3 linked regions of the Diceros bicornis minor genome follow. The protein of the gene in region 1 interacts with the protein of each later gene in a pairwise test. Links are inferred from orthologs where the notes say so. Each region holds a gene or a part of one and is shown in the gene's direction. Other genes may lie near its edges.

Region 1 (3,748 bases):
GAAGAACGGAGCAGGTGGGAGCTGGAATGTGAGAGAGCAACTGGGAGGCAAAAGGCAGCCGAAAAGCCAGACTGTGCCTCCATTTCCCCAACTTCCTGTAAAAGATGTAACCAACTTTGCAGGGCCCTCCTGGCCCTGCAGAGGGTTGATGGCACTATGCAGCAATGCTGGCAGCCAAGGGGTTAACCCTTAGGCGGCTGCCCGTGGGCAGTGAGGTAGGACTGAGGGGAAGCAGTGCCTCGGCTCCATCCCTTCCAGTTTCGTGGGCACCAGCTCTACTGCTGGGAACCACCACAGCGCCCAGGCCCTGAGCTGCCAGTCTCTTCTCCACTCACTGTCCTGAGTGGTTCCAGGGGCTGGGCTCCTCCGGCTTATCCTAGATTCCCATCCCCCACCCCAGGAGGCGTTGACTCGCCGGCTGGTGCAGACAAATACGCAGTGTCTCTGACTGCTCTTTGGCCTCCTAGGTCAGCAGCGTAAGGCCACCTGTGCTCTCCGGATGCACACCTGGCCTTGGCCTCGCGTCCTGGCCATAAAATGGGTGGGGGGCGGGGCTGGAATGAGGGTATTGGAGGTGAGGACCCCATTCCCCAGGCAGCAGGGGGAGAAATCTGAGAGACACCACCGATCACAGGTCAGAAACAAGGGAGGAGAGGCGTCAGAGCTCAGAGACGCGAGGCGAGGGGTCCGGGCCTTGAGTGTGGGGTGGACAGACCAGATGCCCTCTCCCTCCTTCCAATCGCTGCCTCTTCCAGGGACCCCCTCCGCCCTCCCTGGGGCCCCGGTCCGCTCCCCTCCCCCCTAAATCCTGCCCCCTCTGCGGATTGGTCCCCGGCCTGCCTGGGGGCGGGGCCCGAGGGCCCCGACGTCACGGGTCGAGGGGGGCGGGCGGCTGGGGGAGGGGGGCGACGGGCCCCGGCTCAGCACCTCGGAGAGCTCCCTCCCCGGCCTTGTTTTGCTCAGGTACCGCCGCCGGGGGAGGGAGCCAGGGGGCCGGGCATCGGGCGCAGGGGCAGGGGGATGGCCGTGGAGGGATCGAGGGACCCCGGCGGTCAGAGGGCTCAGCCGTGATCCGGCGGGGGGCCGGGGCGCCGGGCGTGGTGGGGGGCAGCTGGCGGAGGCAGCAGTGGCCGCACATCTGAATGGAAGCGAGCTTTGTCCAGACCACCATGGCTCTGGGGCTGTCCTCCAAGAAAGCGTCTTCCCGCAATGTGGCCGTGGAGCGTCGGAACCTGATCACCGTGTGCAGGTGGGCGCCGCTGGCGGGCGGGGGTGGGGCGGTCGGAGAGGCGTCGGGGAGGGCTGCGGAAACCTGGACTGAGGGAGGATGCACAGCAACCGCGGAGACAAGGGAGGAAGCACAGGGTTAAGAGGAGCACGTCCACTGTCCCTCTCAGGCCCAGACAGGGAGGGGGTTTGGAGGTCTGGTCTCTATCCTTCTAGGCCAAGCCAGGCCTATGCCCAGCCTGGGGCCTGGGGGGTGAGGGGTGTTTAATTGGCACTGCAGCTTCCTGTGAGAACCAGGAAGTGACATTGTGCGTGAGGGGGAAGGGGCGGCGATGGCTGGCTCCCTTGCTGGGGGCGGGGTGGGCAGAGGCAGAGTGGGCAGGAGAGAACTGATGGAGTAAGGAGATGAACGCCCTCCAAGCATACCCTCACTCCCAGTCCTGTCAGCCTGGCCTCTCCGGGGTGGGGCTTTCCTGGGAGATTTTCCGACGCTCAAATACTGGAGCAGAGATGGTGTCCTCCTCCATCTCTGGGCATGCAGCCTGTGGCAGAGTCAACTGGGGCATGTGGACAAAGCCCTTTAATCCATCCAGTGAAGGGTGAGGGGCGCTTCCCTGCCGTGGGAAGGACTGAGGGCCTGATCACAGAAGCCTGGGTCTCCTGGGCTCAAGGGGAGGAGACTGGGAGGGCAGGGCCATTGGTCCCTGAGGGTGGGGCTGTCGCAGTGTTGGGAAGATTCACCCACTTTTCTTGGGGCCCAGGAAGTGAACTTTCCCACTTTAGCCCTGCAGTGACTCACCCTCTCTGCCCTGCCCTAAGCCAGGAATGGCCAGTGGCTCAGACACTCTCCTTCAGCCCCCACCTGCACTCATCTCTCCCTCTAGGATCCCCATGCCAGCTGCCTTCTCCACCTGCAACCTCCCCACCCCCCATGCCACCTCTGAGGGCAGGGTGTTCCCAGTGCAGGGCTCAGCTGTCTTCCCTTGCCAGCCCCACCTGCCTGCACACAGGCCCTGGCCCTGCTCCTTCCCCCAGGAATCAGTGCCCACCTGATGCCCTGGCTCCTGGCTCCTCTAGCTCCTCCCAGGTTCCTGGGCACACACCCAACCATACTGCGTCTGTCGCACACCATTATATCCCTACTGCCCAGCACAGTGCTGAGCACATCAGATCTCTGTAAAATGCCTGGAATGTTATAGAAGACATGAATACAGCAATGGCCCAGCCCAAAGTGCAGGCCACTCCCTCCACCCTCACCCCCTCAAACACTGCCAGTGTGGTATAAAACAAAGGTTTCTGCCTTTGGGGCCAGATGGTCCTAGGTTCAAACTCTTACTTCATTAGTTATTAGCTGTGCAACCTTGGGGAAGTCTCCTAACCACTCTGGGCCTTGGGTGCCCTATTATCCCCATTGTAGATGGGGTATGTAACAGCCACACCAAGGAATGGTAATGACATAATCCACCTAGGAGCCTAGCCCAGTGCCTGGTACATGAAAATAGCCCCATCCTGATGACACCCTTCCTGTCCTTCTCCTCTCTCTTGACCTCCTAGGTTCCGCTTCTTTCTCTTGCCTCCCAGGACAGCTGGGCCTCTTGAGTGTGTGGGGAAGGGGGATCTCTTCTTGGTCTAGGCTGGAGAAGCAGAGGTTCTGGTGGATTGGAAGTGAGCTTAGAACTGGGGTGTGAGGATAAGAGCTTTGGCGGGGGGAAGGAGGTGTGGCAATGGCTCAGAAACCCCTCAGGCCCCTGCGCCTCGTCACTGTCACGTGGTTTGCCTCCAGCTCCCAGAACAGTTCCCTTTAGCAGGCTGAGGGCTCCACGGGGCCCTCGCCTCCCTGTCTCCATGGTAACCTGCAGCAGCCACTGTACCTCCTAACAGGGAGCACGCCATGGGGCTCCCAGGGGCGATGACCAGCTCTGCAGCATCCCTGAGGACAGATGGCAGACGGCTGCAATCTTGATACCAGCCCCAGGCCCCCACTGAGGTCTGACCCAGATGACCAGAAGAAATCATGGGGGTGGGGGGCAGGCTTCATACTGAAGCCCAGATAATGCCCTAAACACAGGCTCCTTCTGGCAGGGCTGACCTTCCCATTAATGCCCAGCTCCTCACCACCGCTGCCCAATGACCTGTACACACTCACCTTCTCCCAGTCCTTCCTGGGATCTGAACCAAAATTTAATGAGGCAGATACTATTATTCCTGTTTGCACCTGGGAAATGGGCCTCAGAGAGATTAAATGACTTGTTCAAGGCCACACAGGTATCACAAGGAAACAGGATTTGAGTCCACCAGGCTGCCTCCCCCTAGGGTAACCCCAACACTGATCTAGATCTGATCTCAGGCCAGACCAACTCTAAGCCCAAAGGAAAGGGAGGGAGCTCCGTGGGCTCAGCTGTGGCATTGGCCTGAGAGCCTCAGAGGCCAGTGCTCAAGGGCTGGATCCTGCAGAGTGGAGGACAGAGGGCGGAAGTGGCAGGGGCTGCTCGCGGCCTTGGTAATCGTGACAGCCACCAGG
Region 2 (2,598 bases), on another chromosome or scaffold:
CCTCTGGCAAACCTCAACAAAGGACTATATTTAGCTCCGAGCTCTCCGCCCAAATTCCTCCTATTTTTTCACTCTTAGCTTCAAAACGACTGGGTTGGGGCAGTGGAGGAGGGGCGGGCGCACGGAGAGCAGCTGCACCGCCCTCCGCTCGGCCCATCACCCAATCCCAGCGGAGGCGACTTTTCAGGCGCGCCGCCGCCCAAACGGACGAGAGCCGGCGGCGGCCAATGGGCGAGCCCCGGGGCGGGGAGTGCGCGGGGCCGGGGGGCCGGGGGACCGGGGGGCCGGGGGGCCGAGCCCGCGGGTGGGCGTGCGCGGCCGCCGCCGCCTCCTTCCACCCCAGCCCGGCCCGGCGCCCGAGCAGCCCTGGCCGCCGCCCCTCGGCGTTGGGGGGGTGGCCGGGCTCGGGCTGCAGCCCCACCGGGGGAGGCGGTGGGACCCGCCAGGTGGCCGCCCGCAGAGGCCCTAGTGCCGAGGGGCGGCCCCTTCCCCGTCGGGACAGCTCTCGGGTCTTTGTGCGGGGTGACGAGGCCGCGTAGGTGCCCGTGGCGGTCGGTGTGAAGGGCGGCGCCGTCCGCCGGGAGATGCTCGCCGCCCCCGCGCTCCGCGCCCCCAACGCCCGCCGGCTCTCCGGGCCGTGACGCACCCCGCCGGGGGCCCGGGGTGGAGTCCTCGGGCTCCTGATACCGGAGGCGGAGGCACAGCCCGCGGCCCCGGGCGGGACCCTCAGGCACGCCCCGCAGAGCGCGGAGAGGGCGCCCACGTGCTCCCACCGGAGCCTGCCTAGCGCTCCGCCGCCTCCCAGCCCCGCGCTGCTCTGGTCGGGTTCTAGACCCGCGCCCTCCGGCACCCGCCCGCGCGCTCCGCCGCCCCGCCCCGGCCCCGCCCCGGCCGGCCCCCAGTCCCGCCCCCGGAAAGCCAGGGGCGGCGGGCGGCGGGCGGCGGCGCACTGGGCATGCTCGCGGGCCGGGCGGGCGGGGCGAGGCGGGGCGGGGAGGGCCGGCCGCGCGCGGCGGGCAGGAAGCCCTGGGCCGCGGAGGCTGCGGGAGAGAGCGCGATGGGCCGCGGCGGCGGGCGCACGCTCCGCGGGGACTCATGCCACGCGCGTCCCGGCCCGGCGCGCCGCTAGCAGCCGCCTCCGCAGCCAGCCGCCGCCGCCTGCCGGCCCTCCCGGGCTGCCGCGGCCGGGAGCTGCCGCCGTCGCCTCGCGCGGGCTGCCGGCATTGTCCTCCCGGTCAGCCGCGGGCTGCTGCGGGGCCCCGGACCCGCGCCCCAGGGACGCGCCGCCGCCGTGCCCGGCCCGGCCCCCGCGCGGCGATCTCGGCGCCCCGCGCGCCCCGGCCGCCCTCGCCGAGCTGCTTCCTGCGGAGCGGAGGCAGGGGAGAAGTGCGGCCGCCTAGCCCGGCCCTTCCCGGCGCGCAGCCCCGACGGGGCCGCGGCACGACGGAGCCATGAGAGAGTACAAAGTGGTGGTGCTGGGCTCGGGCGGCGTGGGCAAGTCCGCGCTCACCGTGCAGTTCGTGACGGGCTCCTTCATCGAGAAGTACGACCCCACCATCGAGGACTTCTACCGCAAGGAGATCGAGGTGGACTCGTCGCCGTCGGTGCTGGAGATCCTGGACACGGCGGGCACGGAGCAGTTCGCGTCCATGCGGGACCTGTACATCAAGAACGGCCAGGGCTTCATCCTCGTCTACAGCCTCGTCAACCAGCAGAGCTTCCAGGACATCAAGCCCATGCGGGACCAGATCATCCGCGTGAAGCGGTACGAGCGCGTGCCCATGATCCTGGTGGGCAACAAGGTGGACCTGGAGGGCGAGCGCGAGGTCTCGTTCGGCGAGGGCAAGGCCCTGGCCGAGGAGTGGAGCTGCCCCTTCATGGAGACGTCGGCCAAAAACAAAGCCTCGGTGGATGAGCTGTTCGCCGAGATCGTGCGGCAGATGAACTACGCGGCGCAGCCCAACGGCGACGAGGGCTGCTGCTCGGCCTGCGTGATCCTCTGAGGCCGCGCGCCCCGCGCACAAAGCCGAGCGCACGGCGCGCTCGGCGGGATGCCCTTCTCGCTCGGAGGTTGGAGACGACTCGGCAGCGGCCGGGGTGGCCTCCGCCCCGCGTCCGAGGGGCTGTCCCGCCCTGACCCTCCGCGACCCGGTGGGAACGTGGCGCTGTGCAGCATGTACGTTTCTCATTGATTTTGGTTGACGCATATTTCCCCGTTGAAGCAGTCGTTGGGGCGCTGTATTGGCAGCTTGACACCGGCAAGCGAAAGTTTCAGCCAGGAAAAAATGCGGTGGGGAAGGAAGAGGACGGGAGAAGGTGGAGGGGACCTTGTGTGTGTGTGCGTGTGCGTGTCAACAACCGTTTTCTAGTTCCAAGTTTTCAGTACACGGAAGAAGTCCGGGAGAACCAAATGAAGGAGCAGGAGGAGAGGAGGAAACTTGTTTTTTCATTGTTTTCCAGGAGTAGCTGGAAATTAAGATCGGGTTCCTTTTCTGCCAGTTTGGAAGGGCAACCCCGTGACTGATTGCGATTCCGAGGATGTCTATGCAAAGTTGGGTTCTTGTTACAGTGTATCCAATCTGAAGTATTGCACATCTG
Region 3 (3,748 bases), on another chromosome or scaffold:
ACGATTGGTTGGCAGAGCGTGCGCAGGAGCAAACGCCCAGCCCGGCCAAGCAGTGGGAGGTGGGTTGGACGATCCAGCGACTAGACATTATCCCTGTGGGCCGATGGATGGGCGTCACGTGGTATGAAGCTGCTCCCTATTGGCCGAGAACACTACCATGGGGTCCAGAGACGGGGTCTGGTTGGCTGGAATGAATCCCAGCGTCCTACTAGGTATCCCAGCTGGCTGTTGCTATGAGGTGTCCCTGGGCCTTCTGGCGGCGGCTCGGGGCTCCGCTCTCCCGGTTTTCCAAGCGCCCGGAGCTGACAGGGCGTGGGAAGCGCTCGACAGAAGTCGGGCACTGAAGGGCGGGGCCGGGGGAGGTGGGCGGGGCCCGGCTTCCGCGGTCCCCGGCCTTCGCCGCCTCGGGCAGTGGGCTGTGAGGGGCCTGTCACCTCTCCCTCAGACCTGATGCTTAAAACAAAGCCTCATCTCGTGGTGTTTATGCGCGTCCCCTTAAACAAAGCTTCCTCTCGTTATGTTTACACAACATGAAACCAAAGCTTCTCAGGAATGCTGACAGACAGGAATGCTGGCCGACAGTGGTGTCGGCCAAGGCCCTCACGCCAACGCCTCCTTTTCGACCTTGCCCATGTCTTCTTCTCACTCCCCTCTTCAGGTTAAAGCCTGGAGATTGCTCTGGCCCGCCTAACACCTTGTCTCCGCCAAATTCTGAGCGTGGGATTCTCGAGTTGACGCGGTTCCCGGCTCAGGCGGACAAACTGCGCATGCTCAGTACGCAGGCCTGGGGTTCGACGGGGCGTGCGGGGTGGGGTGTTGGGCGTCCGAGGCGGTTGTTTATCTAAGCGCGGGCAGAGGCTTCCGCGCGGCGCTGAGCCTCCCGGGAGCGCGCGCGGCTGGTCGCTAGGCGACGGGGGTGGGGGCGGGGCTGCGCCGCCAGGCCCCGCCCCGGGCCGCCGGGCCCCGCCCCCGGCAGCACCGCGACTCGGGCTCGGGCGCGCGCTCCGGCGCCGGGGGAAGCGGCGGGCGGGGAGCTGGGCGTGGAGGCGCGAGGGGCGGGGCGGGCGGGCGGCACTGCGGGCCCGCGGCTCGGGCGGCTCCGGCGGCTCCCGCTTCCTGCTCGTCCTCAGAGCCTGCCGGCGCCCGCGGGGCCGCATTGCCGCCCGGCTCGGCCCATGCCCAGGGCCGCTGCTCCCTCCGCCGGCGCCCGGGGGGCTGCGGCGGCCGTGAGGTGGGGGCGGCCGCGGGAGGCGGCGGGGCCGGCCGCCGGCGCAGGGTCCGGGGGCGCAGCGCGGCGGGCGTAGGTCTATGTCGCGGGCGGCGGCGGCGGCGGCGGCCGCGGAGGGACGATGCGCGAGTACAAAGTGGTGGTGCTCGGCTCGGGCGGGGTCGGCAAATCCGCCCTGACCGTGCAGTTCGTGACCGGCACCTTCATCGAGAAATATGACCCCACCATCGAGGACTTCTACCGCAAGGAGATCGAGGTGGACTCGTCGCCGTCGGTGCTGGAGATCCTGGACACGGCGGGCACCGAGCAGTTCGCGTCCATGCGGGACCTGTACATCAAGAACGGCCAGGGCTTCATCCTCGTCTACAGCCTCGTCAACCAGCAGAGCTTCCAGGACATCAAGCCCATGCGGGACCAGATCATCCGAGTGAAGCGGTGAGAGGGCCGGGGTGCAGGCAGGGGGCTCCGCGGTGCGGTCGGCGGCCGCCGTCCCGGGGCCGGGACTCCCTCCCCCGGGCTCCGGCGTGGCCGTGGGCAGGGGGAGCTGTGTAGGGAGGTGGCTCCGGGGTCTTATGCTTTGTAATAAATTTTTTGCCAGCATCGCCATCCTCATCATCTTGAATCTCAAATTTGAGTGCTTTGTTTCACAACTCAAATTTGGCATCCCGTGAACCCACAGCACAGTTCTTTGTCTCTTGGATATTATTAGTAGCGCTTGTGCAGAACCCCAAAGGAGACAAAGTTTAAAACTTGCAAGGGGGAGTGGGGAGGGTAGGTTTGTGTTGGGAGGAAGGGAGCTGTGCAAGTGTAGTGGAGACATTTTCAGACTGAACAACGAAAAAACCTACCTTTGCAATATTTGACAGCAAAAATTGCTCACACGTATGCCGTAAAAATGTCAAGTCGAGAGGAAAGAGACCTTTCTCATCTCAAAAGATTGAATGGTGCCAAGGCGTTTTACGAAAATGAACTCTCCAATTAAGACGAAACTTTAAAAGCGGATTATCAAATTATTTGAAGACACCATAGCAGCTCAGTGGGATTGAGAGAGTATTAGCATATAAGAGTACAAATATGCCGTTCACATTAAAGAATGCAGCTTTTTGTTTTAATCTAGCTGCCTTACCCCCCTCAAAAAAAAAAAAAAAAGAAAAAAGCATTCCTGGAAACAAAAGAGAAGTTTTTTCAGGGTGTGACTCAAGTATTAGATAATTTAAAGTTAATGCAGATAAGGTCTATCCTGATAGAAACTCTTTTCTAGAGTATGCTTTTCGGAAATATGATGGTAGTTTAAATGGCTTAAAATGTTTATTTTCTGTTAAATTGAGTATATTTTTTCTATAGTTTCAAGCATTAAAAATGTAGTAATATCTTAGTTCAAAGTTTTAGCAGATTATTCTAATTACTGTTTAATTACACATTAATGTTTTTGTCTGGTTCTTATTATTAGTTAATAATTGCTAATAATTTTGATTTAGTTTTTCTTTTTCCCACCTAATTCTACCTATAGCTCTAACTTGAAAGACATTTACTGAAAGATGGTTGTAAGTGTACTGTAGACACAATCACATTATAAGTCAGTTGGAGTCTGCTCATTCTGAAAGAGCCAGGGCCAAGTCACGTGTACTAAATCAGGGAGTGCTCAAAAATTCATTACCAGTGGTGGATTTTTAATGCAACAGATGAGATCAAAGAGGAGGCTCTCTCTCCATGACCCCCCCTTAACTCACTGAATATGCACTTTAATAGCTAAACTAAAATTTTGTGTGTTATTTCTTTCATTAAATTTCAAAGTAGGATAAAGTGAATTTTTTCCTGGCCTCTGCTGCTGCTCTAAGATCTGTGAATCTGATAGCTTTTACTTCTCCAACCTTGTTTTCATAATTGCTTATAGTTAACAAATGAACGATTTTGGTGTTAAGCTTAATATGTATATGACATTTTGGGGCTACATTTTAGTGACTCATATCCTTATTTATTACTCCTCCCACCCCAGCTACTCAGAAAAATCCAAAACAAAACTGCAGAACAGAGTAGTCTAATATATTTCACATGTCAGTCTTAGGCCATATACATATATCAAATAGTTGAAGTAAATGCCTCACCCTTTGCATTTAAATATATACATATAATACATACGTTGATAAAGTCACATACCCAGGGCAAACTTCTTGAGACAAGCCTAGGGAACAGAATGGCAAAATATCATTGGATAGTATAGTGCACATGATTTTGTCGTTTCTTATGATTTAGTGCAGATTACTAATAATGGGTTAGTCTAAACTTGGTACAATTTATTTGTAAACTGGAACAATTTGCTTGTTTGCACTGTGACCCAGGAAGAAAAAAAGAGTAAAACTCTACTTGCCCAGATGTCATTTTACTTAGCAGTCTCAGTTTTGATGTAAAAAGATCATTGATCAGCTGAAATAGAGTCCATAAGCTCTTTTCTCTGGATTCATCCATTGTATCCATAAGACCCACTGGGGCCCTTGTGTGTCCTGATATTTTATACCTCAC

Evidence for each region.
Region 2: the proteins of RUNDC3A (region 1) and RAP2B interact in binary tests that used the Homo sapiens proteins (3 or more experiments, as listed by UniProt). The two-hybrid records come from large-scale screens. The link is inferred for Diceros bicornis minor from reciprocal best matches to the Homo sapiens genes RUNDC3A and RAP2B.
Region 3: the proteins of RUNDC3A (region 1) and RAP2A interact in binary tests that used the Homo sapiens proteins (3 or more experiments, as listed by UniProt). The link is inferred for Diceros bicornis minor from reciprocal best matches to the Homo sapiens genes RUNDC3A and RAP2A.

The regions. Positions count from the first base shown.
Region 1 is NC_080757.1:42,892,043-42,895,790, forward strand, and holds the start of RUNDC3A (RUN domain-containing protein 3A), read left to right. Parts: upstream 1-1,091; 5' UTR 1,092-1,142; coding exon 1,143-1,249; intron 1,250-3,748. UniProt on the Homo sapiens protein: May act as an effector of RAP2A in neuronal cells.
Region 2 is NC_080741.1:2,231,228-2,233,825, reverse strand, and holds RAP2B (ras-related protein Rap-2b), read left to right. Parts: upstream 1-1,376; 5' UTR 1,377-1,451; coding exon 1,452-2,003; 3' UTR 2,004-2,091; downstream 2,092-2,598. UniProt on the Homo sapiens protein: Small GTP-binding protein which cycles between a GDP-bound inactive and a GTP-bound active form. Involved in EGFR and CHRM3 signaling pathways through stimulation of PLCE1.
Region 3 is NC_080748.1:73,734,725-73,738,472, forward strand, and holds the start of RAP2A (ras-related protein Rap-2a), read left to right. Parts: upstream 1-1,116; 5' UTR 1,117-1,349; coding exon 1,350-1,663; intron 1,664-3,748. UniProt on the Homo sapiens protein: Small GTP-binding protein which cycles between a GDP-bound inactive and a GTP-bound active form. In its active form interacts with and regulates several effectors including MAP4K4, MINK1 and TNIK.